Callithrix jacchus: one gene and its partners. The protein of the gene in region 1 binds, or shares a complex with, the protein of each later gene. Links are inferred from orthologs where the notes say so. Each region holds a gene or a part of one and is shown on either strand. Other genes may lie near its edges. The genes, in order: LSM7, USP39, LSM6 and LSM2.

What was found.
Region 2: LSM7 (region 1) and USP39 share a complex: the UniProt entries of both Homo sapiens proteins name them as parts of the U4/U6-U5 tri-snRNP complex. The link is inferred for Callithrix jacchus from reciprocal best matches to the Homo sapiens genes LSM7 and USP39.
Region 3: LSM7 (region 1) and LSM6 share a complex: the UniProt entries of both Homo sapiens proteins name them as parts of the precatalytic spliceosome. The link is inferred for Callithrix jacchus from reciprocal best matches to the Homo sapiens genes LSM7 and LSM6.
Region 4: LSM7 (region 1) and LSM2 share a complex: the UniProt entries of both Homo sapiens proteins name them as parts of the precatalytic spliceosome. The link is inferred for Callithrix jacchus from reciprocal best matches to the Homo sapiens genes LSM7 and LSM2.

What each region holds. Positions count from the first base shown.
Region 1 is NC_133523.1:2,190,912-2,199,648, forward strand, and holds the start of LSM7 (U6 snRNA-associated Sm-like protein LSm7), read right to left. Parts: upstream 5,069-8,737; 5' UTR 5,065-5,068; coding exon 4,975-5,064; intron 4,893-4,974; coding exon 4,802-4,892; intron 1,300-4,801; coding exon 1,228-1,299; intron 1-1,227. Other genes in the region: SPPL2B (signal peptide peptidase-like 2B), read left to right, coding at 5,133-5,198. UniProt on the Homo sapiens protein: Plays a role in pre-mRNA splicing as component of the U4/U6-U5 tri-snRNP complex that is involved in spliceosome assembly, and as component of the precatalytic spliceosome (spliceosome B complex).
Region 2 is NC_133515.1:27,399,297-27,407,250, reverse strand, and holds part of USP39 (ubiquitin carboxyl-terminal hydrolase 39), read left to right. Parts: intron 1-3,220; coding exon 3,221-3,315; intron 3,316-5,761; coding exon 5,762-5,898; intron 5,899-7,954.
Region 3 is NC_133504.1:50,806,918-50,814,871, reverse strand, and holds part of LSM6 (U6 snRNA-associated Sm-like protein LSm6), read left to right. Parts: intron 1-2,744; coding exon 2,745-2,858; intron 2,859-7,954. UniProt on the Homo sapiens protein: Plays a role in pre-mRNA splicing as component of the U4/U6-U5 tri-snRNP complex that is involved in spliceosome assembly, and as component of the precatalytic spliceosome (spliceosome B complex).
Region 4 is NC_133505.1:39,301,166-39,308,190, reverse strand, and holds the end of LSM2 (U6 snRNA-associated Sm-like protein LSm2), read left to right. Parts: intron 1-2,917; coding exon 2,918-2,948; intron 2,949-3,065; coding exon 3,066-3,125; intron 3,126-3,232; coding exon 3,233-3,358; 3' UTR 3,359-3,716; downstream 3,717-7,025. Other genes in the region: VARS1 (valine--tRNA ligase), read left to right, coding at 5,770-6,156. UniProt on the Homo sapiens protein: Plays a role in pre-mRNA splicing as component of the U4/U6-U5 tri-snRNP complex that is involved in spliceosome assembly, and as component of the precatalytic spliceosome (spliceosome B complex).

The DNA of each region.
Region 1 (8,737 bases):
CAGAATACAGCATCACAGGCCTCCTGATCTCTGCAAGGTCCCCAGAGCCCAAGGGGGCCAACATTCACCCTATAACAAAGAGGCTGGGCCGGGCACGGTGGCTCACGCCTGAAATCCCAGCACTTTGGGAGGCTGAGGAGGGTGGATCATGAGGTTAAGAGATCAAGACCATCCTGGCCAACATGGTGAAACCCCGTCTCTACTAAAAATACAAAAAATTAGCTGGGCATGGTGGTGCGTGCCTGTAATCCCAGCTACTCAGGAGGCTGAGGCAGGAGAATTGCCTGAACCCAGGAGGCGGAGGTTGCAGTGAGCCGAGATTGAACCACTGCACTCCAGCCTGGGTAACAAGAGTGAGACTCCATTGAAAGAAAGAAAGAAAGAGAGAAAGAGAGAGAGAGAGAGAGGAGAGAGACGGAGAGGGGGAGAGAGGGAGAGAGAGGGGGAGAGAGAGAGAGGGAGAGACAGAGAGAGAGAGACAGAGAGAGAGGGAGAGAGGGAGAGAGAGAGAGAGAGACAGAGAGAGAGAGAGAGAGAGAGAGAGAGAGACAGAGAGAGAGAGAGACAGACAGAGGAGAGAGAGAGAGAGAGAGAGAGAGAGAGAAAAGCTGTTGATATGGGATGGGGACCGTAGGGAAGAGCCAGCAAGCCCCAGACAGGCTCTCAGGAGGCCGGAGGCAAAGACGGCCCCTCACTTCTGTGGCCACGCGGTGGGGGGTGGGGAGAACCACGGCCCCAGGCTTTTCAAATCTTTTTTAGAGACCAGCTCACCTGATGGTGTCTACACACTGTGCTGGGCACTTCAAGTGTGCCCAGCACAGTGAAATGTTTTATTTTAATTTTGTTAGAGGTGAGGTGAGGGGCCAGGAACAGTGGCTCATGCCCGCCATCCCAGCACTTTGGGAGGCTGAGGCAGGAGGATCCCTTGAGACCAGGAATTTGAGACCAGCCCGGCCAACATGGGAAACCTCGTCTCCGCTAAAAATATATAAAGTTAGCCAGGCATGGTGGCGTGCACCTGGAGTCCCAGCTGCTTCCACTCTCCAGCTCCCCCGTCTCTGCGCCCCAGGATGATGGAGTTTCCAGCTTTGTGGAAACGCCTACGAATGGTAAGTGCCCAAGCCCGTCCTTCAGCCGTCACGGGGCTTCACGTCGGTACCTCAGGGTAAGGTTTTGTGGGTCTGAGAGAGGAAGAGCCAGCAGGCAGCCCCACGGCCGCCCCCTCACCTCGCATGTATTCGATGGTGCCGTCCAGCACGAGGTTGAGGAGCGGGTCGAAGCCCTTCAGGATTCCACTGGCTTGGAGAAGTCACCAGGGGAGAGAAATGAGAACGTGTGAGATGCGTCCCGGGCACAGGGCCCACCCCAGCGTGGATCAGGTGTGGTGCCAACTTCTCCAGGGATGGAGGACTGAGGGTAGGTGAGGGCTCCCGGTGTGGGGGTGGGGGGCAGATGACAGCGGTCTCCAGAGCGACACCCCCGATGGACAGCAGACCCAGTCTGCAGGGGCCCAGATGGCAAACACCTGTGGCTGTGTGGGCCCAAGGTGCCAGCCCCAGCTGCTGGCTCAGCCTGCCTGCTCATAAGCAGCCTCAGTGATGAGGCCGTGTGTGGCTGACGGCGGCCAGTCAGCTCTACGCACAGGCACTGAAATGTGAACTTCATGTAATTTCCACATCGTGAGACAGTCTTCTTTTGATCCCTTTTTAACTATTTAAAAGCCATGAAAACGATCGTCACCTCAAAAGCAGGTGAAAAACAGGTGGCGGCAGAGGTGGAGCCACCAGCCAGGAGCGGAGCGAGGCTGATGCAGGCCGCAGCACACCTGAGGATGCCACGCTCGGTGAAAGACCAACAGAAGGTGTGTGTGCACAGGAGGCCGCCCGCTGTGACCAAGCCACAGAGACAGGGAGGGGATGTGTGGGTGCCAGGGCCGGGGAGGGGACAGGGCTCCCTCCAGGGGAGACAGACTGCCCTGCTCTGAGAGTGGTGACGGCTGCGTTGACCCGTGCTGAGTCCCTCAGCGAGTTCATGGGATATAAAAGAACAACTTCCCGCCCCGCTGCTCAGGACTTGCGGGGAGTGGGCAACGGAAATGCCCGAGCCCTGGGTACGCAGGCTTCACGGGTTGAGGCAGTTGCTGTAGCTTCCCTCTCCCCGATGCCTGCCCCGCCCCTCAGGCCTCGATGCCTTAGGTCGAGACCTCTGCCCCTCAAGCCTGGCCGCTTTAGGTCACGCCTCGCCACCTAAGGTTAGGGCGCTGACCAGGCAGTGACCTCTGCCATCTGATCCTGCTCCCCAGTGTCTGGTGATTGGCCCATCCTCCCTGCCTGGGACGCCTCACCCCTCCCCTGCAGGCTCCTCCGGCCCAGGCCTCTCCTGCCGAGGATGCACTTTTGCGCTCTCTGAGGGGCTTCCCAGTGGCTGCCCCACCCTACTTCTCACCCCTGCCACCTCTCAGGTGCTTTCTCCAGACACCAACCCACCCACACCTCTTAGGGTGCTGCCCACTGTACCATCCCCCAATCCCAGGAAGCAGGCACCCTGGGCATTATTCTGTCTGCCTGAAAGGCGGGGCCTAGTGAGCTGGCCCACGGCCGCTCCGCGCACACCCAGGGCAGCCATGTGCAGGGAGGGGTGCGGGGTGAGGGTCTGCAAACCATGACCCTCAGGCCAACCTGGCCCGCTGCCCATCCCGTAGTGAAAGTCCCAGGGCCCAGCACCACACGCGCCGCTCCCGCTCCAGCGCTGACCACGGCAGGTCTCCCGCTCTCCCCGCATAGCTCACTGGTTTCAGAGACCATCTGGGATGCAAAGCTGAAGGTATTTGCCGACCAGCCTTTGCCTACAGAGAAGGTCTGACTGCCCAGGCTTGGGCCCCCCTCCCCAGCTCGCTCTCTGTGCTCTCAAGTTCCTCTCCTGCAAAATGAAACTCATCACCACCGGGGGCGGTGGCTCACGCCTGTAATCCCAGCACTTTGGGAGGCCGAGGCGGGTGGATCACGAGGTCAAGAGATCGAGACCATCCCGGTCAACATGGTGAAACCCCGTCTCTACTAAAAATACAAAAATTAGCTGGGCATGGTGGCGCGTGCCTGTAATCCCAGCTACTCGGGAGGCTGAGGCAGGAGAATTGCCTGAACCCAGGAGGCGGAGGTTGCGGTGAGCCGAGATCGCGCCATTGCACTCCAGCCTGGGTGACAAGAGCACAAACTCCGTCTCAAAAAAAAAAAAAAAGAAACTCATCACCTACACAATGGGGCCAGACACATCTGTTCAGGTGCCCAGCACTGGCCTGACCAGAGTCCCCTCTCAAGGGGACAGACGTGAGCACCGAGGCAGGTGGGTGCACCCAAGGTTCCTCTCCCCTGGAGAGCTAGGTTCGGAATCCCCACCCCTGGGGCATGTGACTGACTGGACAAGACGTCACTCTTGCAGTCAGGTGACGTGAGGAAGACAAGGAACTCTGCAGCTGTGATTGAAGCCCGGGAACCAGCAGACTGTAAGCCAATCTGGAGGGAAACAGCCTGGGTGGGCCTGAGGGCATCAGGTGAGCCCTTCAGGAACCAGACCTTTCTGCTTTTTTTTTTTTTTTTTTTTGGAGACAAAGTCTAGTTCTATCATCCTGGTTGGAGTGCAGTGGCATGATCTCCGCCTCTCATGCGCAAGCGATTCTCCTGCCTCAGCCTCCCCAGTGGCTGGGACTACAGGCATGTGCCACTATGCCTGGTTGATTTTTGAGTTTTTAGTAGAGACGGGGCTCTGCCATGTTGGCCAGGCTGGTCTCAAACTCCTGAACTCAAGTGATCTGGCGCCTCAGCCTCCCAAAATGCTGGGATTACAGGCGCCTACCACCACACCCAGCCAATTTTTGTATTTTTAGTAGAGACAGGGTTTCACCGTATTGGCCAGGCTTGTCTCGAACTCCTGAGCTCCTGATCTGCTTGCATCAGCCTCTCAAAGTGCTGGGATTACAGGTGTGGGCCACTGCGCCCACCCTGTCTGAGGCTGTTTAGGTTGTCGCGACTTGGTGGAGGCCAGGGATACTGCTCAGCACCCTGCAGTGCCCAGGTACGGCCCCAACCCAGAGAATGATCCGGCCCCAAATGTGTCCACACTGTTGGTGCCGGGAGAGATCTTGACATGGGTGGGGGAGAAACAGAAGCCGGGAGATCTGTGGGGAGCTGGGGCAGCCCTTGGACACACAGGACTGCTCAGAAGGCCAACCCTGAAATCCCAATCCCTGCTATGCCACTGTGACTTTGGGTTCCGTCTGTTTCCCGCCCCGTGCCTCAGTTTCCTTGCATGCAAAATGGGCATACCAGTTCCTACCTCCCGGTGTAAGTAGGAATACCGCATAAGGTAGTCTAAAGAGGGGCCTGCGAGGCCAGGCGCGGTGGGTCACGCCTGTAATCCCGGTACTTTGGGAGGCCGAGGAGGGAGAATCAATTAAGGTCAGGAGTTCGAGACCAGGCTGGCCAACATGGTGAAACCCCCGTCTCTACTAGAAACACAAAAATTAGCCGGGCGTGGTGGCCGGCGCCTGTAATCCCAGCTAATCGGGAGGCCGAGGCAGGAGAATCGCTTGAACCCGGGAGGCGGTGGTCGCAGTGAGCCGAGATCGCGCCATTGCACTCCAGCCTGGGCATCAGACCGAGACTCGGTCTCAAAAAAAGAAAAAAAAAAAAAGAAAAGAATAAATAAAAGCGGCGCCTCCGCATGCATGCGTCCTCATCATCGCTCTTCCTGGGTTTATTTCAGAATTTTAAAGGCGAGGTGCCGACGGCGGGAGCCTCCTCACCTTCGCGGCCTCCCTGGAACTTCACCCGGATCGTCTTGTCGATGTACTTGGACAAGTCCAAGATGCTCTCCTTTTTCTTCTTCTCCTTATCCTGCGGGGAAAGCAGAGCGCGTGAGGCGCGCAGCGCGGCCCGAGCCCCACGCCCCCAGCTCCGGATCCCGCCGCGCGCTCACCGCCATCTTGCCGCGCCGCGCCGCTCTGCGCAGGCGCCACCCCGCGCCCTTTGACCCCCTCCCGGCTTCGCAGGCGCATGCGCGGCGCATGCGTGGCCCGGGGTCTCGCGGCGTTGCTGGGAAACATCTGTCGACGGTTGCGGTGGGCACCGGCCGACATGGCGGCGGCGACGGCGGCTGCGCTGGCGCGGCTTGTGGCGCCCTTTCTGCTCCTCGCGGCCCAGGTGAGCGCGGCGTTGGTTCCGACGGCCCCGCAGGCTACGGCTTCTGGGCCTCTCGGCCCCCGGGCTACGCCCAGGAACGACCCAGGTCGTCTCCGGGGGTTCCAGCCTCGGGGATCCGCGGTCACCGCGCCGTTGGCCGGCGGTGCCGGGGCCTGGCCGTGACCTTGCGGGGCTGTCCCCGGCTCGTCTCCCGTCCCTGCCTCGGAGGCCCTGCGCCGCCGCAGCGCCCCTCACTTCCTACCGGGTCTGAAGCTTGTGCCCACTCCATCCCTCCGTTCTGCTTGTCCTCTTCGGGGTCTCCAGCCGCCGCCGGGGTCGCCTGTCTCTGGCTCTGTGGCCTTGGGCAGGCGGCTGCCCACCCCGCGCCGAGCCTCAGTTTCCCCGTAGGCGGAACGGGCGGGGTGCTGGCTAGCCTCACCCTAGGGGGTGCCGTGGGGAACCCAGAGGCGTCCCGCGCGTCCCCGAGTGTCTGGCAGCGCCCTGGAGTGGCCAAGAGCCCAGCCCTGCTCTGGGGCTGCATCCCTGCTCCATCTTTTAGTCTGTGACCTTGGACAAGGGAATCCCCTGCTTGGAGCGTCAGCTGCTCGTCCGCAGGAAGGCTGAGGATGGTGTGGATTCTGGAGATGATGCCCAGGGTGACCAGCGCCCAGGGCCAGCACGCCCTCGTTATGTTAATCGTGTGTCGTTTGCTGCAAAGCATCTCAGGTTCTCGTGGGGACAGTCTACGAGATAGCACTGCCCTAACTGCGTTTTTTATTTTCTTATTTCCAAATCTTCCCTCTCTCCTGACTTTAGGAGCGCAGCCCTACAAATGCGGCCCTTAACCTTGACTCCTCTCTCCGAGTTCTCACTCTTAAGGCGTCGCTGCCACCGGCGCTCTCTCAGCCCCACTCCTCCAGCTCCGCCGTCCTCCCCCTGCTGTGGCTGCCTTTGTCCCCCATGTCCCCAGTCCAGCCTCGACACAGCAGGAGTGACCCTGTCACATCCAGATGAGTGTGTCCGTGCATTTGTGACCTGGCTATCAGAAGCCTGCAGTGGGCTCCCTGGCCGTTTCTCTTACCCTGGAAGCCCTCCGCAGAAGCTTTCTAACAACCCCACCCCCTGCTGCTCTTTCGGCCCCCTGGACGTCCCCCCATTTTGCAGCCAGGGACCTACAACTCCCCAGACGTTTGGAAGGAGGGAAGAACCAGAGGTGGAAGGAAGGTTCCCTCCTGGAGTTTGCCTGGAAAGGGTTTTCCAAAGCAGGTGTGTGTGTGTGTGTGTGTGTGTGTGTGTGTGTTTTGAGAGGGAGTCTTGCTCTGTCGCCCAGGCTGGAGTGCAGTGGTGCCATCTCAGCTCAGTGCAACCTCCACCTCCCAGGTTCAAGTGATTCTCCCACCTCAGCCTCCCGAGTAGCTGGGATTACATGCGTGCGCCATTGCGCTTGGCTAATTTTTGTATTTTTAGTAGAGATGTTGGTCAGGCTGTCTCGAACTTCTGGCCTCAGGTGATCACCCACCTTGGCCTCCCAAAGTGCTGGGATGACAGGCATGAGCCACCGCGCCCGGCCCCGAAGCAGGTGTTCCCAAGGCTGAGTAGGAGTTTGCCAGGTTGGCAGAAGGGGAAGGATGTTGGCAGCAGAAGCAGCATGGGCAGGGGCTGGGAGGGGTGAGAGCCGTTGGGCTATTTGGGGCTGGCAAGGGGTGGGCTGCGGCTGCAGTGTAAAGTGGAATAATGCTGGTACGGAGGGTTTCCACCTGGAAGATGTCACCACCAGGGAGGCCTGCACGTGGGCCATGGAGAGAGGCTGGGGCAGGGGCACAGAGGAGGGGGCCGTGGTATGAGTGGCCCCAGGTAGAGGGTGAAGGCAGAGCATTGGGCCTTGGCTGGAGGACAGGCCATCAGGTGGAAGCCAAGTCATGGAAGGCGCTGGGTGCTGGGGCGTGGAGTTTACCCTGGGAGGGCTGAGGAGCTTGAGCTTTATCCGGAGTGTGGAGAGCCAAAGGCCAAGTCAGAGTGACACGAGAAAGCAGGAGCTCCCGGGCCTCCCCCAACCTTGATTGTAAATACACCCGAGACGCCCGTGCCTGGAGGGGGCGGTGCTTCCCGCAGTGGAAATGGGAGTCCATTGCCCAAGAATGAGACTTGCTGTAGGGGCAGGAACCTGCTTGGTGAGAGTCCTCAGCTCACTTGCTACCATTTGGTGACTCTGAGCAAGAAATCTGACCTCCCCAGTGAGACACCCCCCACCATGGAGCCGCTCCCCAGCAGGTCTGAGCTGGAGCTGGTGGACCTGGCTGGACCCGGCCCTGCTCCTGGAACTCCTCAGTTCCGGTTTCTGGAGTCACGTGCCTGTGTCAAAGGCCCTTGACTCGGACGCTTTCACAGTCATTCTGAAGCAGGGTTTCTAAGCCTCCTAGAAGGTTTTAAAGCTGTGTGTGGTTGCGAAGCGTCCGCACTGCAGTTGGGAAGGGTTCCGAGCTGGAGGCCTGGGCTTTGAGCCTGTCCTCATGGCCTGCCCCAGCTTTCGCTGGCCTTCCACATTTCTGTGGGCCCGACTAGAACTCAGGACCCGGTTAGAGCTGTGGCGGTTGAAGAATTGCTCCCCGTTCCTTTAACTCGGCAGGCGAGGAGACTCTTCACAGTGAGACGCTGCTTTCTGGCCTTTGTTAGAGGCTCAGGCTTGTTTTTTAACGGAAAACCAGTTTTCCGAATTGTGCAGAGGAAAATGCATGAATGTGCTTTTGTGCTCTTAAATGACCCTTTCAGAGAGAAGCTGTTCTGTCGGTTCCCATTTTACACAAAAGACACCTTTCACCAAAGTCCCTGGTCCCGTTGAACAAAGCTTGGCAGGTGTTTTCTGGGAAGGGCTGGACAGTAGTTCTGCTGGGATTTGTGGCCCGTGTGGCCTCTGGTGGGGTGGCTGCGTTTCTCCTGTTGTACCTCCAGAGCCGGAGACTCTTCCTTAGGAATGGGCTTGGCTGCGTTCCAATAAAACTTTATTTAGAAGCACAGGAGGTGGGCCTGACTGGATGCTTGGCCTCCGCTGTGACCCATAGCATCCCTCCTGGAGGAGGTGCAAGGGGTTCCGAACACTGGGAGGCTGTGTTGGGAGGGGTCCTCACGGGCAGGCAGTCTGTTGGGCAGAACAGGGAAGAAGGGGCTCCTGACTCTGCCTCTGCTCTGGCGGTCACACGGGAGGTGCATGGAGTTGGGCCGGGTCAGGTGCAGGAAGGAAGCATTAGCCGAGTGCTGAGACCCCCAGGGGACTGCAGGGACTGGGACTTTCACCAGGCTGCAACCCAGAGGCCTCGAGGGCCTTGACCCAGAAGCTCCCAGACCAGACCAGAACCCTGCGTGATTTCAGTGAGGGCCCAGCAGTTGGAGAGGCAGTTTGTGCCCGGGTGCCCGGGTGCCCGGGTTGGTGTCCGGCACCAGGGACCATCGGGACCTTTGGCCGAGCCAGAGCTCCCCTTCCCCGGCCCCAGCTTGGTGGAGCTGCGTCTGCAGTGTGGGCCTTGTGTGAGGTGGAGTTGTCCAGACGAGGGCTTGCTGTCCTC
Region 2 (7,954 bases), on another chromosome or scaffold:
GGGAGCCTGGGGTTCAGCAGAAAAAAGCGCAAATTGCTTTTTTTTTTGAGACAGAGTTTCGCTCTTGTTACCCAGGCTGGAGTGCAATGGCGGGATCTCAGCTCCCCGCAACCTCCGCCTCCTGGGTTCAGGCAATTCTCCTGCCTCAGACTCCTGAGTGGCTGGGATTACAGGCACGCGCCACCATGCCCAGCTAATTTTTTTTTTTTGAGATGGAGTTTCGCTGTTGTTACCCAGACTGGAGTGCAATGGCATGATCTCAGCTCACCGCAACCTCCGCCTTCTGGGTTCAAGCAATTCTCCTGCTTCAGCCTCCAGAGTAGCTGGGACTACAGGCGCGCACCACCATGCCCAGCTAATTTTTGTGTATTTTTAGTAGAGACGGGGTTTCACCATGTTGACCAGGATGGTCTCCATTTCTTGACCTCATGATCCACCTGCCTCGGCCTCCCAAAGTGCTGGGATTACAGGCTTGAGCCACCGCGCCCAGCCCAAATTGTTTTAAAAAAGTTATAAGCGCTGTTCATTATGGTAGGCATGAACCACCTGTGGCTTCAGTGCTCCTGTAATTGAAAACTGAATTTTACATTTTGTTTAATTGAATTATAGTCAGCCTCAGTATTGGGATATGGAACCTGAAGATACAAAGGGCCAATTGTAAGGGGCTTGAACATTGTTTGAAAGCTGAGATAGTTTACTGCATCATTACATTCTTTTTTCTGATTCCCACGTGGCATGTAGAATGTTTTTCAACCTATATTGTAGGGAAATTTTCTATAATAATATAATTGTTCTTATAAGAGCTGGGTGTGGTGGCTCACACCTGTAATCTCAGACCTTTGGCAGGCAGGAGGATCACTTGAGGCCAAAAGTTTGAGACCAGCCTGGTCAACATAATGAGACCCATCTTTTTTTATTCTCTTTAGATGGAGTTTTGCTTGTATTGCCCAGACTGGAGTGCAATGGTGTGATCTTTGCTCACCGCAACCTCTGCCTCCCAGGTTCAAGTGATTCTCCTGCCTCAGGCTCCTGAGTAGCTGGAACTATATGCGTCCACCACTATGCCCAGCTAGTTTTTGTATTTTTTTAGTAGAAATGGGTTTTACTATGTTGGCCAGGCTGGTTTTGAACTCATGACCTGAGGTAATCTACCTGCCTTGGCCTCCCAAAGTGCTGGGATTACAGGTGTGAGCGATGGCGGCCGGCCAGTGAGACTCATCTTTTATTTATTTATTTTTAAGATGGGGTTTCACCATGATGGCCAGGCTGGTCTTGAACTCCTGACCTCAGGTGATCCACCCACCTTGGCCTCCCAAAGTGCTGAGATTACAGGTGTGAGCCACTGTGCCTGGCTCGTATTTATTTATTTTTAAATTTAATTTTTATTTTTATTTAAAAATTTTTTTAAATTTTTAATTATTTTTTTATAGAAGTGGGCTTTCACCATTTTGGCCAGGATGATCTTGATCTCTTGACCTCGTGATCCGCCCGCCTTGGCCTCCCAGAGTGCTGCGATTACAGATATGAGCCACCGCGCCTGGCTTGAGACTCATCTTTTATAAAGACTTAAAAAAAAAAAAGTTATGGCTGGGTGCTCTGGCTCATGCCTATAATCCTAGCATTTTCGGAGGCTGAGTTGGGCAGATTGCTTGAGCCCAGGAGTTCGAGACCATCCTGGGCAACATGGCAAAACCTCATCTCTACAAAAAATAAGCCAGGTGTAGTGGTGAACTCCTGTAGTCCCAGCTACTTGAGGGGGCTGAAGCAGGAGGATTGCTTGAACCTGGGAGGTTGAGGCTGCAGTGTTGAGATTGTGCCACTGCACTCCAGCCTGGATGACAAAGTGAGACCCCATCTCTGGGAAAAGAAGGTCACGAGGGCTGTTCATTATGGTAGGCATGAGCCACTTGTGGCTTCAGTGCTCCTGCAATTGAAGAACTGATTTTTACATTTTATTTAATTGAATTACAGTCAGCCTCAGTATCAGGATATGGAACCTGAAGATACAAAGGGCCAGCTGTAAGGGGTCCTAGAACCAGTTGAACATTGTAGATTTTGGTATCTGAAGGGGTCCTAGAACCAGTTTCCTGTGGCTACTGATGGACAGCTGTTTTTGTTTTTGGTTGTTTGCTTTTTTGAGATGGGGTCTTGCTCTGTTGCCCAGGCTGGAGTGCTGTGGTGAGATCTTGGCTCACTGCAGCCTCCGCCTCCCAGGTTCAAGCAGTTCTCCTATCTCAGCCTTCTGAGTAGCTGAGATTACAGGCAGACCACCACACCCAGCTAATTTTTGTATTTTCAGTAGAGATGAGGTTTTACCATGTTGGCCAGGCTGGTCCCGAACTCCTGACCTTGGGTGATCCACCCTCCTCAGCCTCCCAAAGTGTTGGAATTATAGGCATGAGCCACTGCACCCAACAGGACAGCTTATTTTAAATTTAATTGTTAATAGCCACTTTGTCTAGTGGCTTCTTTATTAGATAGCACAGCTCTTTGGGATCATTATCAGTTAATTAAGATTACTATTTGAGGATAAATCTCTTTGTGGGTTGAATGGAGGTAAGGTTTTTTGTTCCTTTCTGCCTAGTCCTCACTTGGCACTTGAATAAATAGATCTGTTTGTAGGTATTCTAAAATTTTTCAGCCTTTCCATTTGTTTTTATGGACAAAAATACGTTTTTATTTTAAAATTTACTATTATTATTATTTTTTTTTTTTTAAGAGAGGATCTCACTCTAGCCCAGGCTGGAGTGCAGTAGTGGATCAGAGCTCACTGTAGCCACAAACTCCTGGGTTAAAGTGATACATTTTTCTTTTGTGAAAAGATTTATTCATCCTTTTTATGTCCTCTCCACCTCCAGAATGCTGTTGGGGTCCTTTTACCTTAGTCTGACTTGTAACTTTCCCTTTAGAAAAAGTGAATGCAGTGGGAAGTCTTGAACTGGTTACAAACACTAATGAGAAAGATACTTTTGGTTATTAGGTGTCTGGTGGAGACACCTCAACACTGCTTTGGAGCATGGCAGGTGGAGGTGAGGAATAATCAGTGTCTCCGAATAATCAGTGTCCCCCAATAATCGGTATATATATTGTTGTGAACTGTTTTCTGAAGGCTGTTGTGTGGTATCATTGAACATCACAGAGCCAACACTGCTTCATTTGAGTGCCTTCCTACATGTCCATCCTATTGTTTATTTTTTTCTGTTTTGTTTTGTTTCCTTAGAAGTGTGCTGGACTTTGACTTTGAGAAACTGTGTTCTATCTCCCTCTCACATATCAATGCTTACGCCTGTCTGGTGTGTGGCAAGTACTTTCAAGGTAATGAGTGTTAAAAATTACAAACTTGTTAAGCTTTTAGAGCTAGCTGCAGATCTGTTCCAGAGGGACTTTTTTTTTTTTTTTTTTAAAGAAAGTAAGCTGTTCTCAGGAATTATATCTAATAATTTCAATTTGTTCCCAGGAAATTGAAATATTCTTAGAAAACGAACAAGAGGTTCTCTGACTGGTCAGAGCCTGGATATATCTGAAAGGGAGAAAGGGCAAATCATATGACATCAAAGACTGGATTCTTGATTCTAATATATGTATTTTCTTATTTTTAATTTTTTATTATTTTGAGACAGAGTCTCACCCTGTCACCCAGGTTGGAGTGCAGTGGTGCAGTCTTGCCAGCTAATTTTTGTTTAAATTTACATGGAGTCTTGCTTTGTCACCCAGTCTGCAGTGCAGTGACATGATCTTGGCTTACTGCAACCCCTGCCTTCTGGGATCAAGCAGTTCTCCTGCCTCAGCCTCCCAATTAGCTGGGATTACAGGCATACCACCATACCTGGCTAATTTTATATTTTTAGTAGAGACAGGGCTTCACCATGTTGGCCAGGCTGGTCTCAATCTCCCAACTTCAGGTGATCTACCTTGGCCTCCCAAAGTGCTGGGATTACAGGCATGAGCCACCGTGCCCAGCCAATTTTTTATTTTTATTTTTGACATAGAGTCTCCCTCTGTCACCCAGGCTGGTGTGCAGTGGCATGATCTAGGCTCACTGCAACCTCTGCCTTCTGGGTTCAGTCTGTTCTCCTGCCTTAGCTTCCTGAGTACTGGGATTACAGGTGTGTACCATCACACCCAGCTAATTTTTTTTTTTTGTACTTTTAGTAGAGATAGGGTTTTATCATGTTGGTCAGGCTGGTCTCGAACTCCTGACCTCGTGATCTGCCTTCCTCGGCCTCCCAAAGTGCTGGTGTTATAGGTGTGAGCCACTGTACCCGGCCAATTTTTTTTTTCAATTTTATTTATTTATATTTTGGGCTGGAGTTTCGCTCTGTTGCCCAGGCTCACTTGCATCACTGAGTTCAAGTGATTCTCCTGCCTCAACCTCCCGAGCAGCTGGGACTACAGGCATGCACCACCACGCCACTACACCTGGCTAATTTTTGTATTTTTTAGTAGAAATGGGGTTTTACCATATTGGCCAGGCTAGTCTTGATCTCCTGACCTCAAGTGATCCACACTCATCAGCCTCCCAAAGTGCTGAGATTACAGGCGTAAGCCACTGCACCGGGCCACATTTTTTTTTTTAAAAGATGGGATTTTTCTCTGTTGCCCAGGCTAGTCTCAAAACTCCTGAACTCAAGCAGTCTGCACTTTGGGGCCTCCCAAAGTGCTGGGATTTATAGGTGTGAGCCACTGCACCACGCCATCTGGCTATTTTATTTTATTTTATTTTGTAGTGACAAGGCTTTATTATATTACCCAGGCTGCCCTTTTATTTTTTAATCCTTTATCTCCATGGACTTTTTTTTCCCCATTCTTTTCTGAAAATGCATAATTTCAACTTATTCAGACCAAGCAGATGCCACGTACATAGTATAGTGGAGGGTTCAAATGAGGTAAAAACATCCTGACATGGTGGCTCGCACCTGTAATCCTAGTATTTTGGGAGGCCAAGGCAGGAGGTTTGCTTAAAGCCAAGAGTTCAAGACCCACCTGGCTAAAGTAACAAGACCCTGTCTCAAATAAAAAAGAGATAAAAACTATATTCTTTGCTGTTATAAGTAGCTTATAAGAAGTCAAGGTTGACAATGTAAAACAACCAGCAAGTTCTGTTAGAACTTAAAGATTCTGCTAGACTGTGGCAGTGAATAAAAATAAAGGCAATAGGAGTTGAAATATGTAAAAGTCAGTGTTAGCCGGAGTGTTTATATTGAGTTCATGGAGGAGTTGAGGTGGGACTTGAATTGGCAGGACATAGGATTTTGAATGGTTAAGGGAGAGATTCTAGAAAGGAGTAGCAACATGAAAAAAGTTACATAGATGCAGCATTGTCCTGAATATGGATAGTTGGAAATTCAGGACTGAGTGATGATGGACTGTCATAGGATATGTATGTATTTGTGTATATGTGTATTTATTCACACATATATGCATGGCTATTTCTGATTTCATATATATAGGAAACTATATATAATATATATATAGGTTATATATATTAGGTTATATACATATTATATGTGAAATAGTGAAATTTGTTTCCTCAGTCAATGTCTTACACCATCTAGGGAATGAAGTAACTAATGTGCCAGTTTTTCTTGCTCATTTTTTTATAAGAGAAGTTCATGTGGAGGATTCATTTTATGAATGGCATAATATTTGTTTTTTGCGGATGCTAACATGTTCTGGTAGAAAATAATGAAAGGAAAAGCAAACCTGATCGGTGCCTTCTAGGATCTGCCCTTCTGTTACAGCCTTTCCCCTTTCCCTACAGGCCGCGGTTTGAAGTCTCATGCCTACATTCACAGTGTCCAGTTTAGCCACCATGTTTTCCTCAACCTCCATACCCTCAAGTTTTACTGCCTTCCAGACAACTATGAGATCATCGATTCCTCATTGGAGGATATCACGGTGTGTGTCTAAGAGGGTTGGTTTGGGGTCCATTCTTTATGAGCCATCCCAGGGCTCCCAGGGGACTGCTCCACCTGAGGACAGGGAAGAATCTCAGTCCTTTTGGGCCTTGAGAGATTGCTTTCCCTTTTGGAAGGAACCAGGGAAACTGATTGTCATTTCTGCCTTTAACATTGAGGACTAGGACTGAAGAAATATGGCTGTATTCTGATAGGGTTGAAAGTGTTTTTGTGAAATGAATTATTCTTCCACACTTTGAAGTAGGGATATTAATTGGGTGTGGTGTAGGACAGTAGTTACCAAGCTGCACACCAGCTCCTGGCTGCTTTTATTTTATGATGTGGCCAGAGCATCCAGCCACAGATGTATCATCTGTGGGCTCTAGTTTGTGACCTGGACCAAGAGATACTCATTGTACTGAACATGGAAAGTCCTCTTGGGCTTTGATTAGTGTTGGGCTTTTGATTATTATTTTTCTTTTCAGCATGTGGGGAATATTCATGGTGCCAAATGCTCTGTTTTTGTTTTTGAGATGGGGTCTCACTCTGTTGCCCAGACAGGAGTGCAGCACCAGCACAGCTCACTATATCCTTGACCTCATGGGTTCAAGTGATCCTTCCACCTCGGCCTCCCATGTAACTGGGACTACTGGCATGTACCATCATGCCCAGATAAATTTATTACTTTTTTTATAGAGATGGGGTCTCGGCTGGGTGCGGTGGCTCACGCCTGTAATCCAGCACTTTGGGAGGCTGAGACGGGTGGATCACAAGGTCAAGAGATCGAGACCATCCTGGTCAACAAGGTGAAACCCCATCTCTACTAAAAATACAAAAATTAGCTGGGCATGGTGGCGTGCGCCTGTAATCCCAGCTACTTGGGAGGCTGAGGCAGGAGAATTGCTTGAACCCAGGAGGCGGAGGTTACGGTGAGCCGAGATCGTGCCATTGCACTCCAGCCTGGGTAACAACTGCGAAGCTCCTCAAAAAAAAGAGGTGGGGTCTCATTGTGTTGCACAGGTTGGTCATGTTCTGTTTATTTTTAAGGAAAGTTTGGTAGTTTTTGAAATACTGGTTTTTCTACTTGCGAAAGTTTTATAAGCCTATTTTTTTTTGAGTCACACTGTTGCCAGACTGGAGTGCAGTGGCACCATCTCAGCTTACAGCAAAATCTCCACGTCCCAGGTTCAAGCGATTCTACTGCCTTAGCAGTAGATTACAGGTGTGTGTCACCACACCTAACTAATTTTTGTATTTTTAGTAGGGGCAGGGTTTCACCACGCCTGGATGGTCTTGATCTTCTGACCTCATGATCCACCCACCTCGACCTCCCAAAGTACTGGGATTACTGGCATGAGCCACTGCCAGGTTTGTTAATAATTGAGGTTAAAATTGTTATACATAGGCTGGGTGCAGTGGCTAACACTTGTAATCCCAGCACTTTGGGAGGCCGACGCAGGTGGATCACTTGAGGTCAGGAGTTTGAGACCAGCCTGTCCAACATGATGAGACCTTGTTTCTACTAAAAATACAAAATTGCCCAGGCATGGTGGCGCACACTTATAATCCCAGCCACTTGGGAGGCTCAGGCAGGAGAATTGCTTGAACCTGGGAGGTGGCTGTTGCAGTGAACCGAGATTGTGCCATGGTACTCCAGCCTGGGCAACAGGAGCAAAACTCGGTCTCAAAAAATAAAAGTTATGGATAGTATTATAGAGGGAGAAACTGGAATAAATTCAGTGTTTCAAAGTGAGTTTGGGATGACCTCTGTCCAGTCTGTGACATAATGACTGTGGTGACTGAACCTGGGAAGCATCTGATCCTGCTCTTTCAGTCCCAGAAAGTCATGGAAATCCTCAGTCTCACCCAGCGTGGAGGAAACTCTCCTGCTCCAAAGCTAAGTACATGTGCTGCCCCTGGGAGGTTCTGAGGCTTAGACTGCTGTTAGAAACTTGAGTATTGTATCGTTTCTGGCAGTCAGTTATGAGTTGACCAGACCTGAGGTCTGCAAAAATCACTGGGATTTAGTGATTTTGGATTAAACACAGAGATCCCCT
Region 3 (7,954 bases), on another chromosome or scaffold:
TGGTGATTATGTACTCCTTTAGCTTCTTGACACTAATAACATATCTCCAGTTTAATTTTATTTTTATAGTAAAACTAATGGATTTATACTGAATACTGAGATACTACAATGTCTCAATTTACTGCCTCTACCTGTGAACTTTTGATGAGCCCATAGGAAGTGATAGATTTCTAGGGATTTTAGTCTGCTTGACAACTGATTAAAGTGAGGACATTGTGTTCAGTATCTTCTCAGTATCCACTTTATTGAAGAGATGAACCAGCCTGATCTTTTTTCTCTATACTCTTTAAGAAAAATTTTTCTGTTTATAAAGGCAATACATGTTTTAGTTTTAATTTTAGAAATTTAAAAGAAAATAAAAGAAACAAGTATATAGAAGAAAGCAAAGTCTCTCCAATGCTACCATCCAAAGAGTTTACCAATTTTGACCTCTATATAAGCATAATTTGATGTAAATGGAATCAGCTGTACATGAAACCTGATTTTTTTTTTTTTTTTTAAACATGAAACAATACATTTAGTTTTGTGACAGTATAAAGGTTTGTGTGGCTGTACAATAGTTTTGTTTTTATTTTTAACAAATTTCCTATTAATGGACATTTTAGGTGTTGACCAGTTTTTTACTACTGTAAACAACTGTTTTACTTTGACATACATTGTGAACGCTTGACCAAGCATCTCTTTAGAATCAATTCCCTGGGCTAGGATTTACAATCAGAGTATTCCATGGCCCTGCATCAGTGAACCTGGGTTTATCCTACATATTCTCACCAACTCTTGTATTAGCTTTTTCATCTTTTCTAATCTAATACTTGGCAACAAGTAATATCTCATTTTACATATATTTTCTTTGTTTACTAGTGAGATTCAGGAGTCTTTCACATGGATAGTAACCCTAATTTTCTTTCCTCATGTCTCTTCATGGCCTTTGTACTAATAAAGCAAAATATTTTTTACTATTAGCCTTACTAAAGGACCATGCTTATTTTATGGTTTACAAAACACTGATAAAAGCCCAAAACAAAACAATAACAACATACCAAAAAAAAAAAAACCTCCATCAACTCTCTGTAGCAATTTCTCTTTAAGAAAATGCCTTGTTTTTGGTTATGTATAGTGATTTATCTCATGAAGAAGGAAAGGGTTGTATTTCTAACCTTTTGGGCAGTTTGTTAGTGTGTGGATTTTTGTTTTTTGTTTTTTCTTTTTAGCCTTTGCTATGAGAATAGAATAGACATTTTAATTAGACGTGAACTTTTTTTTTTTTGAGATGGTGTCTCACTCTGTCGCCCAGGCTGGAATGCAGTGTCGCAGTCTTGGCTCACTAAAACCTCTGCCTCCCAGGTTCAAACGATTCTCCTCTCAGGTTCAAAAGATTCTCCTGCCTCAGCCTCCTGAGTAGCTGGAATTACTGGCACCTGCCACCACTTCTGGCTAATTTTTGTATTTTTAGTAGAGACAGGATTTCACCATTTTAGCAAGGCTGTTCTTGAACTCCTGACCTCAAGTGATCCACCTGCCTCTGCCTCCCAAAGTACTGGGTTATAGGCATGAGCCACCGTGCCCAGCCTGGACATTTCATTTTGAAATCTTTTCATTAGTTTTCAAACTTGCCTGTCTTGCCTCAGAAGTTTCTTGCTTATTTATAATTGTGGTTTATATGTAAAATAATACAGCAGGAAATGAGCTAAAGTTGTATCTTAAGCTTTCTTTTGCTAAGAAATAATTGTTATTATTCACAGTCCATTCTGGTTCTTTGAGAGTTTACAGCTTAAGCTGTCATTATAGACACAATTTTGAAAGGAAACTTTTTTTGTTTAGAGGATAATAGGGGCAGAGACAGAGAGTGAGGAGCATATTAATCAAGTGAAGACATCAGATGAGAAACTATAGACTCGTCTAATTCAATTGAGTCTAGTATTTGTTTTTACTTAATTTTTTTTTCTCTGGAAAATACCACTTTACATTAGAGACAGAATTAGAGGCTTACAGATTTTCATCTTTTGAGAAAGATCATCAGGTCAAATTTAATAAAATTTATACCATCTTAACACAATTAAAGATTCACTCAACCTGTTTCCTTGAAAGCTCCCTCAAATTTTTTTGGCCATTTTCTCTATTAGTTTTGATTGAAAAATATTACAGCTGTAACAAAACAGACCAAGATGTGTTATAATGCAATATGTTGCCCTATATTCTCAAGCTGCTCTTCACTCTGAGTCACAGCTTTAAGATGTTCTTTCGGGAGCACCTGCTGTCTCCTCTTCTATTATTTTAACAGATTGTGGAGACTTCTCTTAACCCTGGAGTACATTCATCTGCTGCAGTAGATGTGAAAGAATGAAATAAATCTGCTAGACCCATGTTTCACTTAGTGGCTAAAGTAGGAAATGCCTCTGGAACCTGAGATCATTTGTTCATGCATAATTGCCCACCTTGTGCTTAGTTTTCAAAGAACGGTATTTTTGTTGGAATATTCTTTTGCTGTGTGGTCATACATGCCATGAGGGAAGTGACGGTTTGTTGTTTTACCGGTTAGTAGTGGGTGCATGACTGCCTTCCTAGCCTTCATTCAGATTGGCATAGAGTTATTTTGTGCTTAAGCTACTGAGTTTCATTTATTGTGTGAATTTTTATGTTAAGCATCTGAGAGCTGATGAACAAAGAGATAGTCTGCTCTAAGGTATACCCTGTAATTTTCAACTCTTACTTTTCTTGTGTATCTTCTTTTTGACTGTCTGCAGGGGTCCTGGCTTGCCTGGATGGCTACATGAATATAGCCCTGGAGCAGACAGAGGAATATGTAAATGGACAACTGAAGAATAAGTATGGGGACGCATTTATCCGAGGAAACAATGGTAACATTTCTTCACCCTGCAGTACAGGATCCAAAATAAGCCTTTTTGTTTATAATCCAGATCACCAAAGAGTTTTCTAGATAATTTTAAAGTACAGTTTTAGGCTTATTTTAAAATGCTTATATGTCAGATCTTCAGTTTGACCAGTTATTTTTTAAATGCCTCATAGAATTTTGAAACTAAAATTTTCGCCTTCCCTTCCTTTAGTGATGAGGAAATGGGGGACATTGGTCTCTTGACCCGGACCCTGCTCCCTCAAATATCATTTACTGTGTCTCCCCAGCACATATTCCTGCTTCTCGTAGCCTGGAAGTTGGAGCTATAAGAATGGGCACCATTTCCTTGATGTCTTTGATTTGCATAATTTGGCATTTCATCTTATTTGTCCCTTCTTTATTAAACTTTCAAATGTATGGAGATTTGTACCTTTTGGTTTGGCAAAAATGGCAAAGTAGAAAAACTAGTTTAAAGTTTCTCGGTTTTTTTAAACAACTAATTGCTGTGATTTTTGTAGTTATTTTTAAGTACCTAGTTTCAACATGAAAATTATAATTAAGTCATATTTGTATTTTTGGTGGGGAAGGAAAGACATCAGAAGTATGAGAATTACCCCACTTTTGGTTCATTCTCCCAAATGAAACTCTGGGATTCTTGAGTTCAGATTTTTTATTGATTTGTTTAATTCTGGATGTCTTCAACTCCCTAAATAGTTGAATCTCCTTGCTATGAACTAAACTTCCTGACTTTTATAATAGATTCTGTCCCCTGTGCTTACTGTACCATGTTTCTTCAGATTATATTTTTATATATATGATCTCTTGGTTTTCTAGTCCTTCCTATTTATAGAATTATTTATCCTATTTTTCATATCCTTATTTGACTTCTTCTTTTTCCTAAGAAATGATAGAATTCTTTTCTCACCTCAAGACAGCTAATGGCAGCAGTCACCGACAGGTTGGCTTCTGTGCATGTTAGTAGGGGTTGGATCCTTTAACATGCACACTACACCTAGGACTTGAGGGGCAGAGTGGAGGGTGGTTGTATGGGCATTCTGATGCTTCCCTTCCTGTCACATTTCCTGTGATGTAATCAGTAACATTCATCTTTAGACTCCCAAGTTCACATCGTTGGCTTTTAAAGAGGATCTTGACTTATTTGATTGGGCTGTGCTATGTTCTTTGATGAAGACATCCTACTTTGAGCAGACCTCTCAGAAGCCGAATAGGCATGGAGGGTGGAAGGGAGAGCCAACTCTAGTGAAACTTGGCCAAAGTGACCCAGACATTCCATTTTGTTTCATTCCTACAGACCATACATCCTAAGAGTTCAGGTTGGTAGTCGTGAGAGGACCAGCTAAGCAGAATATTGGGTAACACCAAAGTATGAGACCTTAACAGGAACTCAGAAAAAGGACTTTGATATCATTAAAAAGAAAAAAAATCAAAAAATCCTGCTCTTGTTTATCCTGTTGCAATTAAGAAGATAATCAGCAAGTTTAGAGTTTGCGTTGGAGAGAGAGATGGAAATATGCTCTTTATTCTTAATTTGAGATCTAGCCTGGTAGGTGGATTGACCGGTTTACTTTCTGAAAACATCTTGTTTTTTGTTTGTTTGTTTGTTTTTTGAGATGAAGTCTTCTATGTCACCCAGGCTGGAGGGTAGTGGTGCAATCTTGGCTCACTGCAGCCTCTACCTCTCAGACTTAAGTGATCCTCTCACCTCAGCCTCCCATGTAGCTGGGACTACAGGCGCGTATACCAACATGCCTGGCTAATTTTTTGTATTTTTGGTAGAGACGGGATTTCACCATGTTGCCCATGCTGGTCTTGAACTTCTGAGCTCAAGTGATCCACCTGCTTTGGCCTCCCAAAGTACTGAGATTACAGGCGTGAACCACCATGTTCAGCCTGGAAAAGCATAATTCTTGCACTTCTAACTGTAAAGCATTCTTAGATGCCAGAGACTTTCACATATATTTTATTTGTCTTCATGGTCACACTTTGCAGAGTCACGCAGACACATGGATAAGATTACGATACAGTTTTATAAGACATCAAACTCGGATATAGATAAAACTAGTACTTCCAGAGTTAATTGAATGATACAAAAATTCCTTTTAAATGTCAGATGTAGCCGACCAAAATGTGTCTGCTTTTATTTATTTATTTATTTTTTAAATTTTTTATTGCATTTTAGGTTTTGGGGTACATTTCCAGAACATGCAAGACAGTTGCATAGGTACACACATGGCAGTGTGTTTTGCTTCCTTTCTCCCCTTCACCCACATTTGGCATTTCTCCCCAGGCTATCCCTCCCCAGCTCCCCCTCCCGCTGGCCCTCCCCTTTTCCCCCCAATAGACCCCAGTGTTTAGTACTCCCCTCCCTGTGTCCATGTGTTCTCATTTTTCATCACCCGCCTGTGAGTGAGAATATGTGGTATTTCATTTTCTATTCTTGTGTCAGTTTGCTGAGAATGATGTTCTCCAGATTCATCCATGTCCCTACAAACGACACAAACTCATCATTTCTTATTGCTGCATAATATTCCATGGTGTATATGTGCCAGATTTTCCCAATCCAGTCTATCATCAATGGGAATTTGGGTTGATTTCAGGTCTTTGCTATTGTAAACAGTGCTGCAATGAACATTCGTGTACATGTGTCCTTATAGTAGAACGATTTATAGTCCTTTGGATATATACCCAGTAATGGGATTGCTGGGTCAAATGAAATTTCTATTTCTAAGGCCTTGAGGAATCGCCACACTGTCTTCCACAATGGTTGAACTAATCTACACTCCCACCAACAGTGTAAAAGTGTTCCTTTTTCTCCACATCCTCTCCAGCATCTGTTGTCTCCAGATTTTTTAATGATCGCCATTCTAACTGGCGTGAGATGGTATCTCAATGTGGTTTTGATTTGCATCTCTCTGATGACCAGTGACGATGAGCATTTTTTCATATGATTGTTGGCCTCATATATGTCTTCTTTCGTAAAGTGTCTGTTCATATCCTTTGCCCACTTTTGAATGGGCTTGTTTGTTTTTTTCCAGTAAATCCGTTTGAGTTCTTTGTAAATTCTGGATATCAGCCCTTCATCAGATGGGTAAACTGCAAAATTTTTTTCCCATTCTGTTGGTTGCCGATTCACTCTAGTGACTGTTTCTTTTGCCGTGCAGAAGCTGTGGAGTTTGATTAGGTCCCATTTGTCTATTTTGGCTTTTGTTGCCAATGCTTTTGGTGTTTTGTTCATGAAGTCCTTGCCTACTCCTATGTCCTGGATAGTTTTGCCTAGATTTCCTTCTAGTTTTTTTATCGTGCCAAGTCTTGTGTTTAAGTCTTTAATCCATCTGGAGTTAATTTTAGTGTAAGGTGTCAGGAAGGGGTCCAGTTTCTGCTTTCTGCACATGGCTCGCCAGTTTTCCCAGCACCATTTGTTAAACAGGGAATCCTTTCCCCATTGCTTGTTTTTGTCAGGTTTATCAAAGATTGTATAGTTGTCGATATGTTGTGTTGCCTCCGGTGCCTCTGTTATGTTCCATTGGTCTATATCTCTGTTTTAGTACCAGTACCATGCTGTTTTGATTACTGTAGCCTTGTAGTATAGTTTGAAATCCAGTAGTGTGATGCCCCCCGCTGTGTTCTTTTTGCTTAGAATTGACTTGGCTATGCGGGCTCTCTTTTGGTTCCATATGAAGTTCATGGTGGTTTTTTCCAGTTCTGTGAAGAAAGTCAATGGTAGCTTGATGGGGATAGCGTTGATTCGGTAAATTACTTTGTGCAGTATAGCCATTTTCACGATATTAATTCTTTCTAACCATGAACATGGAATGTTTCTTCATCTGTTTGTGTCCTCTCTGATTTCGTTGAGCAGTGGTTTGTAGTTCTCCTTGAAGAGGTCCCTTACGTTCCTTGTGAGTTGTATTCCTAGGTATTTTATTCTTTTTGTAGCAATTGTGAATGGCAGTTCGTTCGTGATTTGGCTTTCTTTAAGTCTGTTATTGGTGTAGACGAATGCTTGTGATTTTTGCACATTAATTTTATATCCTGAGACTTTGCTGAAGTTGCTTATCAGTTTCAGGAGTTTTTGGGCTGAGGCGATGGGGTCTTCTAGGTTTACTATCATGTCGTCTACAAATAGAGGCAATTTGGCTTCCACCTTTCCTATTTGAATACCCTTTATTTCTTTTTCTTGCCTGATTGCTCTGGCTAGAACTTCCAGTACTATATTGAATAGGAGTGGTGAAAGAGGGCATCCTTGTCTAGTGCCGGATTTCAAAGGGAATGCTTCCAGTTTTTGCCCATTCATTATGATATTGGCTGTTGGTTTGTCATAAATAGGTTTTATTACTTTGAGATACGTTCCATCGATACCGAGTTTATTGAGGGTTTTTAGCATAAAGGGCTGTTGAATTTTGTCAAATGCCTTCTCTCCGTCAATTGAGATAATCATGCGGTTTTTGTTTTTGGTTCTGTTTATGTGGTGAATTACGTTGATAGACTTGCGTATGTTGAACCAGCCTTGCATCCCCGGGATGAATCCTACTTGATCATGATGGATAAGTTTTTTGATTTGCTGTTGCAATTGGCTTGCCAATATTTTATTGAAGATTTTTACATCTATGTTCATCATGGATATTGGCCTGACGTTTTCTTTTCTTGTTGGGTCTCTGTCGGGTTTTGGTATCAGGATGATGTTGGTTTCATAAAATGATTTGGGAAGGATTCCCTCTTTTTGGATTATTTGGAGTAGTTTTAGAAGGAATGGTACCAGCTGCTGTTTGTGTGTCTGGTAGAATTCGGCTGTGAACCCGTCTGGACCTGGGCTTTTTTCGTGTGGTAGGCTCTTAATTGCTGCCTTGACTTCTGACCTTGTTATTGGTCTATTCATAGTTTCAGCTTCCTCCTGGTTTAGGCTTGGGAGGACACAGGAGTCCAGGAATTTATCCATTTCTTTGAGGTTTACTAGTTTATGTGCATAGAGTTGTTTGTAATATTCTCTGATGATGGTTTGAATTTCTGTGGAATCTGTGGTGATTTCCCCTTTATCATTTTTTATTGCATCTATTTGGTTGTTCTCTCTTTTCTTTTTAATCA
Region 4 (7,025 bases), on another chromosome or scaffold:
CTGAGGCAGGAGAATCGCTTGAACCTAGGTGGCAGAGATGGCGGTGAGCTGAGATTGTGCCACTGCACTCCAGCCTGGATGATAGAGTGAGACTCCATCTGGGAAAAAAAAAAAAAAGTAAATACTAGGCTGGTCATGGTGGCTCACACCTGTAACCTCAGTGCTTTGGGAGGCTGAGATAGGAAGATCACTTGAGTCCAGGAGTTTGAGACTAGCCTGGGCAACATAGTGAGACCTCTATTTCTACAAAAAATTTAAAAATTAGCCAGGTGTAGTGATGCATGTCTGTAGTCCCAGTTATTAGGGACTAATCCCAGCCTGAGGTGGGATGATCACTTGAACCCAGGAAGTCGAGGCTACAGCAAGCCATGATTATACCACTTTACTCCAGCCTGGGTGACAGAGGGAGACTGTGTCTCAAAAAAGAACAGGCCATAGGATGGGCATGGTGCACAGTGGCTTACACTTGTAATCCTAGCACTTTGGGAGGCTGAGGTGGGAGGATCACGAGGTCAAGAGATCTAGATCATTCTGGCCTATATAGTGAAACCTTGTCTCTACTAAAAATACAAAAATTAGCTGGGCGTGGTGGCCCGCACCTGTAGTCCCAGTTACTAGGGAGGCAGAAGCAGGAGAATCATTTGAACCCGGGAGGTGGAGGTTGCAGTGAGCCAAGATTGCACCACTGCACTCCAGCCTGGCGACAGAGTGAGACTCCCATCTCAAAACAAAAAAAGAACAGGCCATAAACAGCAAATGTTATTTCTACAAAATGAGAAGCACCCATTAGGAAGAATATAGACTCTCTGATAGAAGGTTCTACGGGGCTAGAAGGACAGGGAGAAGTCTCTCAAAAATACAGCATTTAGTCTAAGTCCTGAAATAAGATTAAAATAAAAGATACAAGTGGGAGGAGATTTAAAAGCAGTGCAGGCATTAGTTTTCTGTTTATCCTTTATTTTTTTTATTTTTATTTTTTTTGAGACAAGAGTCTGACTCTGTTGCCCAGGCTGGAGTGCAGTAACACTACTCTTATCGGCTCACTGCAACCTCAGCCTCCCGAGTTCAAGTGATTCTCTTGTCTCAGCCTCCCCGAGTAGGTAGGATTATAGCTGCCTGCCACAATGCCCAGTTAATTTTTGTATTTTTTGTAGAGATGAGGTTTCACCATGTTGGCCAGGCTTGTCACAAACTCCAGACCCCAAATGATCCACCCGCCTCATCACCCCTAAGTGCTGGGATTACAGGCATGAGCCACCTTGCACGGCCCAGACACTGGGTTTTAAATACTTGAGAATTTTTTTTTTTTTTTTGAGACGGAGTTTCGTTCTTGTTACCCAGGCTGGAGTGCAATGACATTATCTCGGCTCACCACAACCTCCACCTCCTGGGTTCAGGCAATTCTGCTGCCTCAGCCTCCTGAGTAGCTGGGATTATAGGCACGCGCCACCATGCCCAGCTAATTTTTTGTATTTTTAGTAGAGACGGAGTTTCACCATGTTGACCAGGATGGTCTTGATCTCTTGACCTCGTGACCCACCCGCCTCGGCCTCCCAAAGTGCTGGGATTACAGGCATGAACCATCGCGCCCAGCTCAATACTTTGAGAATTTTTACAAAACTTAGGGTCCGGCAGAGAACTGCTAACTTTATTTTTGGCAAGATAAGGACTTTTTAAAACAGCTATTTATTATGATTATTTTATAACTTCAAAATAGAGATGAGGTATTGCTATGTTGCCCAGGCACTGCTATTTTGTCCGGGCTGGCCTCAAGTGATCCTCCTGCCTCAGCCTCCCGAAGTGCTGGGATTACAGATGTGAGCCACTGCACCCAGCCAAAGGCTGTTTCTTAAATTTTTGCACCATTCTCCCAAAGAGCACTGGTGTTTTGATACCATTACTCAAATAGCATCTCAAGGGGCTTGAGGATTGGAGAATGGAGAGGATATCACTTGTGCCTGCATCATCAAGAGTAATGCTACCTTCCTACCTTTATCTACATATGGGACTCTGGTTCCAAAGCAATAAATGTTTGAAAATAGCTAGCCTGGGCAACATTCACCATGAGACCCTTTCTCTACAAAAAAAAAAAAAAAAAAAAAAAAAATCAGCTGGGCATGGGGGCACATGCCTGTCATCACAACAGCTGCTCAAGTGGCTGCAGTGAGCATGATCATGCCATTGCACTCCAGCCTGGGCCATAGAGTGAGATCCTGTCTCAAAAAAAAAACAAAAAAAACTGTTGATGATGTTGGGAGTCAGACAGACTTGGACTGAAGTTCCTGTTTGTTCTAAACTCAGGTTTAAAACTTCTCTGAGCCCATGGAAGGTAATAACTACTTCAAAAGATGGCTATAAAGATAACAGAATACAGGTCTAGTCTTTACCAGTTGTTTAATGGTAGCTATTAAGAATAGGTTGGTTTGGCCGGGCACAGTGGCTCACACCTGTAATCCCAGCACTTTGGGAGGCTAAGATAGGCAGATTGCCTGAGGTCAGGAGTTATAGACCAGCCTGGCCAACATGGTGAAACCTCACTTCTACTAAAAATAAAAGACTAGCCAGGCATGATGGCGCACACCTGAAGTCCTAGCTACTCAGGAGGCTGAGGCAAGAGAATCATTTGAACCTGGAAGACAGAGGTTGCAGTGAGCAGAGATAGTGGCACTGCATAGAGTGAGAGTCCATCTAAAAAAAAAAGAATGGTTTAAGGAGAGGAGATGTGGGGTTGAAATTAAACCACTCTGTAGCCATCTTTCCTACTCCAGGCTTAGGAATGTCCCCTTTTGGTTCTACCTTTTCTGACTTCCTCAAGTCCTTGCCTTTTCCCAATCATATTCTCATCCCAGCTCTGAAGTCACCTTTATGTTGACTTTGTTATAAACTAATTTGTTTTTTCTCTCTCTGCCCTTGACAGCATCTGTGGAACCCTCCATTCTGTGGATCAGGTGAGATATAGCAAGGGCCCAGAATTGGTTCCTGGGGAAGGAGAGGGGAGAGCTTAAGGGTTGGGTACTTACATCATATCTCTAGGGTTAATAATGGTGTTCGTATTCCTTTCTTAGTATCTCAACATCAAACTAACTGACATCAGTGTTACAGACCCTGAGAAATATCCTCACATGGTGAGTTGGGGTCTATGGAGAAGAGGAAACACCTCTAAAGCAGGAGGCTCCTGGGTGGTTAGAGGACATTTTTAAGGGTGTTTTCACATTTGTCCATCTTTGTCTAGTTATCAGTGAAGAATTGTTTCATTCGGGGTTCAGTGGTCCGCTACGTGCAGTTGCCAGCAGACGAGGTCGACACACAGTTGCTGCAGGATGCGGCAAGGAAGGAAGCCCTGCAGCAGAAACAGTGATAGCTCCTCCTCCTCTTCCCCTCCCTCTTGCATTGGTGACCCAGAACCCCAAGTCCCAGCCAAGAACCCCTAACTCCCAATACTTAAGGGTTTTTGTTTGTTTGTTTTTTACTAATGATGATTTTGTGGGTTTTTTAAAGGGATGAGTGGATGAGAGGAATAATAGGGAACAGCTCTCCTCTGTTGAGAAGGGGAGGATGAGTAGGCTGGGAAACTTCAAAGCCTTCCCAGTCCCCAGCACCAGCCTTTCTTACTATTTCCCTGGAGATGGTGGGAGAGTTTCCTAAGTATTTCCAGGGCATTCATTTAGGGATGGAAGGAATCTGTCCCGCATCGGGAATAAAATTTATGATGCAAATTCGTGTTCTGGTTTTGTACTACGTTTGGGGCTGGGTGCTGGGTGGTGGAAAAGGATGTTGAATTCATCCAGGCCCTTGTTACTCTCTGTTAACCCAGCCAAGAATCCAACTCAGCTTCCCACTACTCTCCGTGGTATAAAGCGTATAATAACAATTGCACTACACCACGTTTCTCCCAACATGCCTCTGTCTGCATGTTCTCCCTTCGGCGTTTTGCTTATACCATACTGGCAACTGGAGTGCTTGCTGTCTTTCCATTAATGTGACAATGTTATAAGATGCATTTCATGCTACCGGACTTTGACAATCCAACCAAATCAGTACATGTTTTTTGAATATCTATAGAAGATAAATACAGACGGAACATAATTTATATGTTGGAGAAAAGTTATGACTGGCAATTACTAAACTTCATTCACTCATTCAGCAAATATGAGTTGTGATACAGATGAGACTTCTCAGCATTAAGGGACCCTTAGAGACCATCTAGTGTGACCCTCTTTTTTTTTTTTTTTTTAAACAGCCTTGCTCTGTCGCCCAGGGTGGAGTGCAGTAGTGCAGTCTGGCTCACTGCAGCCTCCTCCCTGATTCAAGCACTTCTGCCTCAGCTTCCAAGTAGCTGGGATTACAGGCGCCCACCCACCAGGCCTGGCTAATTTTTGTATTTATTTATTATTTCGAGGTGGAGTCTCACTTTGTCAGCCAGGCTGGAGTGCAGTGGTGTGATCTCAGCTCATTGCAGTCTCTGCCTCCCAGGTTCAAGTGATTCTCTTGCTTCAGCCTCCCAAGTAGCTGGGATTGTGGGTGTATGCCACCACACCCGGCTAATTTTTGTATTTTTAGTAGAGACGGTTCACCATGTTGGCCAGGCTGGTCTCGAACTTCTGACCTCAAGTGATCGGCCCGCCTCAGCCTCCCAAGTGCTAGGATTACAGGCGGGAGCCACCGCACCCGGCCAATTTTGTATTTTTTAGTGCAGACGGGGTTTCAGCATGTTGGCCAGGCTGGACCCGGACTCCTCAAAGGCGTCTGCCCACCTCGGCCTCCCAAAGTGTTGGGATTATAGGCGTCAGCCACCGCGCCCGGCCATGACCCTTTTTTCAAACATGGGATGAGGCTCAAAGGGGAAGCTGGACGCTAGGGCTTTGGAAGATGGACCTCCCCTTTGGTCATCAGGCGACTGCCTCCTAGGTGGGCTAGTCCCGCTACCGCTGGGAACGCCTCCCCCTGCAGGCCGGCCGACCCTCTTAGGCCAGTTCCCTGGCTGCCCGCTGGGCGCCGCCCTCGCCGCCCGGTTCGAGGACCCGCACAAGGTGTCCGTGGCAGCGCCTGACGGGAGCGTGGTGCCCATGGGCGTCCTGTTGTCTTGCGCCCGCGCCCAGCGCCCCGCGCCCGTGCTGTTGCTCGTGAGCGCGGTGGGTGGTGGGCGGTGCGTCCCCGGGACAGCGTCGGACAGGGCGGAGCGGGCACACGCAGGCGGGGCACGGCCGCCCCCGCCAGGACCTGCAGGCCCGGAAACGCTCCCTGTCACAAAGGGGGAACACGTGGGCGCCGGCTGCCCGGGCGGCGGTCTCAGGGAGCTAGGGTCACCCGGTGAGCCGCCCATCCGTCTCTGCCCGCCCGACTTTTCCGCCCCGGCCGCTTGGCCGGTCCAGCCGCGGCCGGCGCCTGCCTGTGAGGTGGATTCCCGGCCCAGTCTGACCATCTCCCTCCAGTACGTACACGCGGCTCGAACCCGCGTCCAAGTGGACGCGGACCCGCTCCTGAGAGCCTTCCACACTCCCCGAAGCCCTGCGATCACGGGTAGTCCCCCACGTCCCTCCTCCCCAGGTACTCTCCACTGTTACTACCCCTCTTGAGAGCCAGGTCCTCGACTGCTGGCACCTTGCCTGGTCAGACCCTTAGTCCTGGGGGACTCGGGTGTCTGCGGCGGAGGAGCTACCGTGAGGGTCCCCTCTCTACTCAAATATAGGACCCGCCTGGATCCCTCAGTCTTCCCCTGTCTCTCTTTCTCTTTAGGTTTTTCCACTTCGTTTGGACCCCCTCATAACTATGTCCATCCTCTACGTCTCCCCTCACCCAGATGCCTTCCCCAGCCTCCGAGCACTCATAGCCGCTCGCTATGGGGAGGCTGGGGAGGGTCCGGGATGGGGAGGAGCCCACCCCCGCATTTGTCTCCAGCCGCCCCCGACTAGCAGGACTCCCTTTCCCCCACCCCGCCTGCCGGCCCTGGAGCAGGGGCCCAGTGGGCTTTGGGTGTGGGGGGCCACGGCTGTGGCCCAGCTGCTGTGGCCAGCAGGCCTGGGGGGCCCAGGGGGCAGCCAGGCGGCTGTTCTCGTCCAACAGTGGGTCAGTTACGCTGACACGGAGCTAATACCAGCTGCCTGTGGGGCAACGCTGCCAGCCCTGGGACTGCGAAACTCGGCCCAGGATCCCCAGGTGAGGGGATTGTAGAGAAGAGGGGGAGGGGAGAGTTTCAGAGGAGGGAAGCAAGGACTGGAATGGACAATGAGACAAGGCAGCATGTCAGATGTGGAAAAAGAGAGATCAAATCCCAGATTGCCAACTGGCATGGTAACTCGCTGTGTCTTGGTCTTCCTGCGTCTGTGGACGCGCAGGCAAGTTGATGTAATGTTTGCCTCACTGAGTTAATAAGATTAAAAGATGTGCGCAGAGTGCATTAGTGCCAGGCACTTTTTTTTTTTTTTTGAGACGGAGTTTTGCTCTTATTACCCAGGCTGGAGTGCAATGGCGCCATCTCAGCTCACTGCAACCTCTGCCTCCTGGGTTCAGGCAATTCTCCTGCCTCAGCCTCCTGAGTAGCTGGGATTACAGGCACGCGCCCCCATGCCCAGCTAATTTTTTGTAATTTTAGTAGAGACGGGGTTTCACCATGTTGACCAGGATGGTCTTGATCTCTTGACCTCGTGATCCACCCGCCTCGGCCTCCCAAAGTGCTGGGATTACAGGCTTGAGCCACCAAGCCCGGCCTAGTGCCAGGCACTTTTAAAGTCTCTTAGTAAACGTTTGGTGAGTCTGAAATTGAGGAGGATAGAAGTTATTTGAATTGCAGGAAAAGATGATGAAGGAGAGAGAGTTTCTGAGAGGAGATAAAAGAAATGAAGTGAGGAAGGGAAGTGAGAGGAGAGATAAGCCTGCCAGATTGTAACTGTCAGTCCTTCCAAAGGAGACCTGTGCCTTGGCGTACTTTCAACTCTGCCTCCTTGCAGGGTGTTGAGCACATGATGGAAAATTAGTATTTCTTGACTGAATGAATGAATATGACATAGACCCTGACTTGCTCCCTC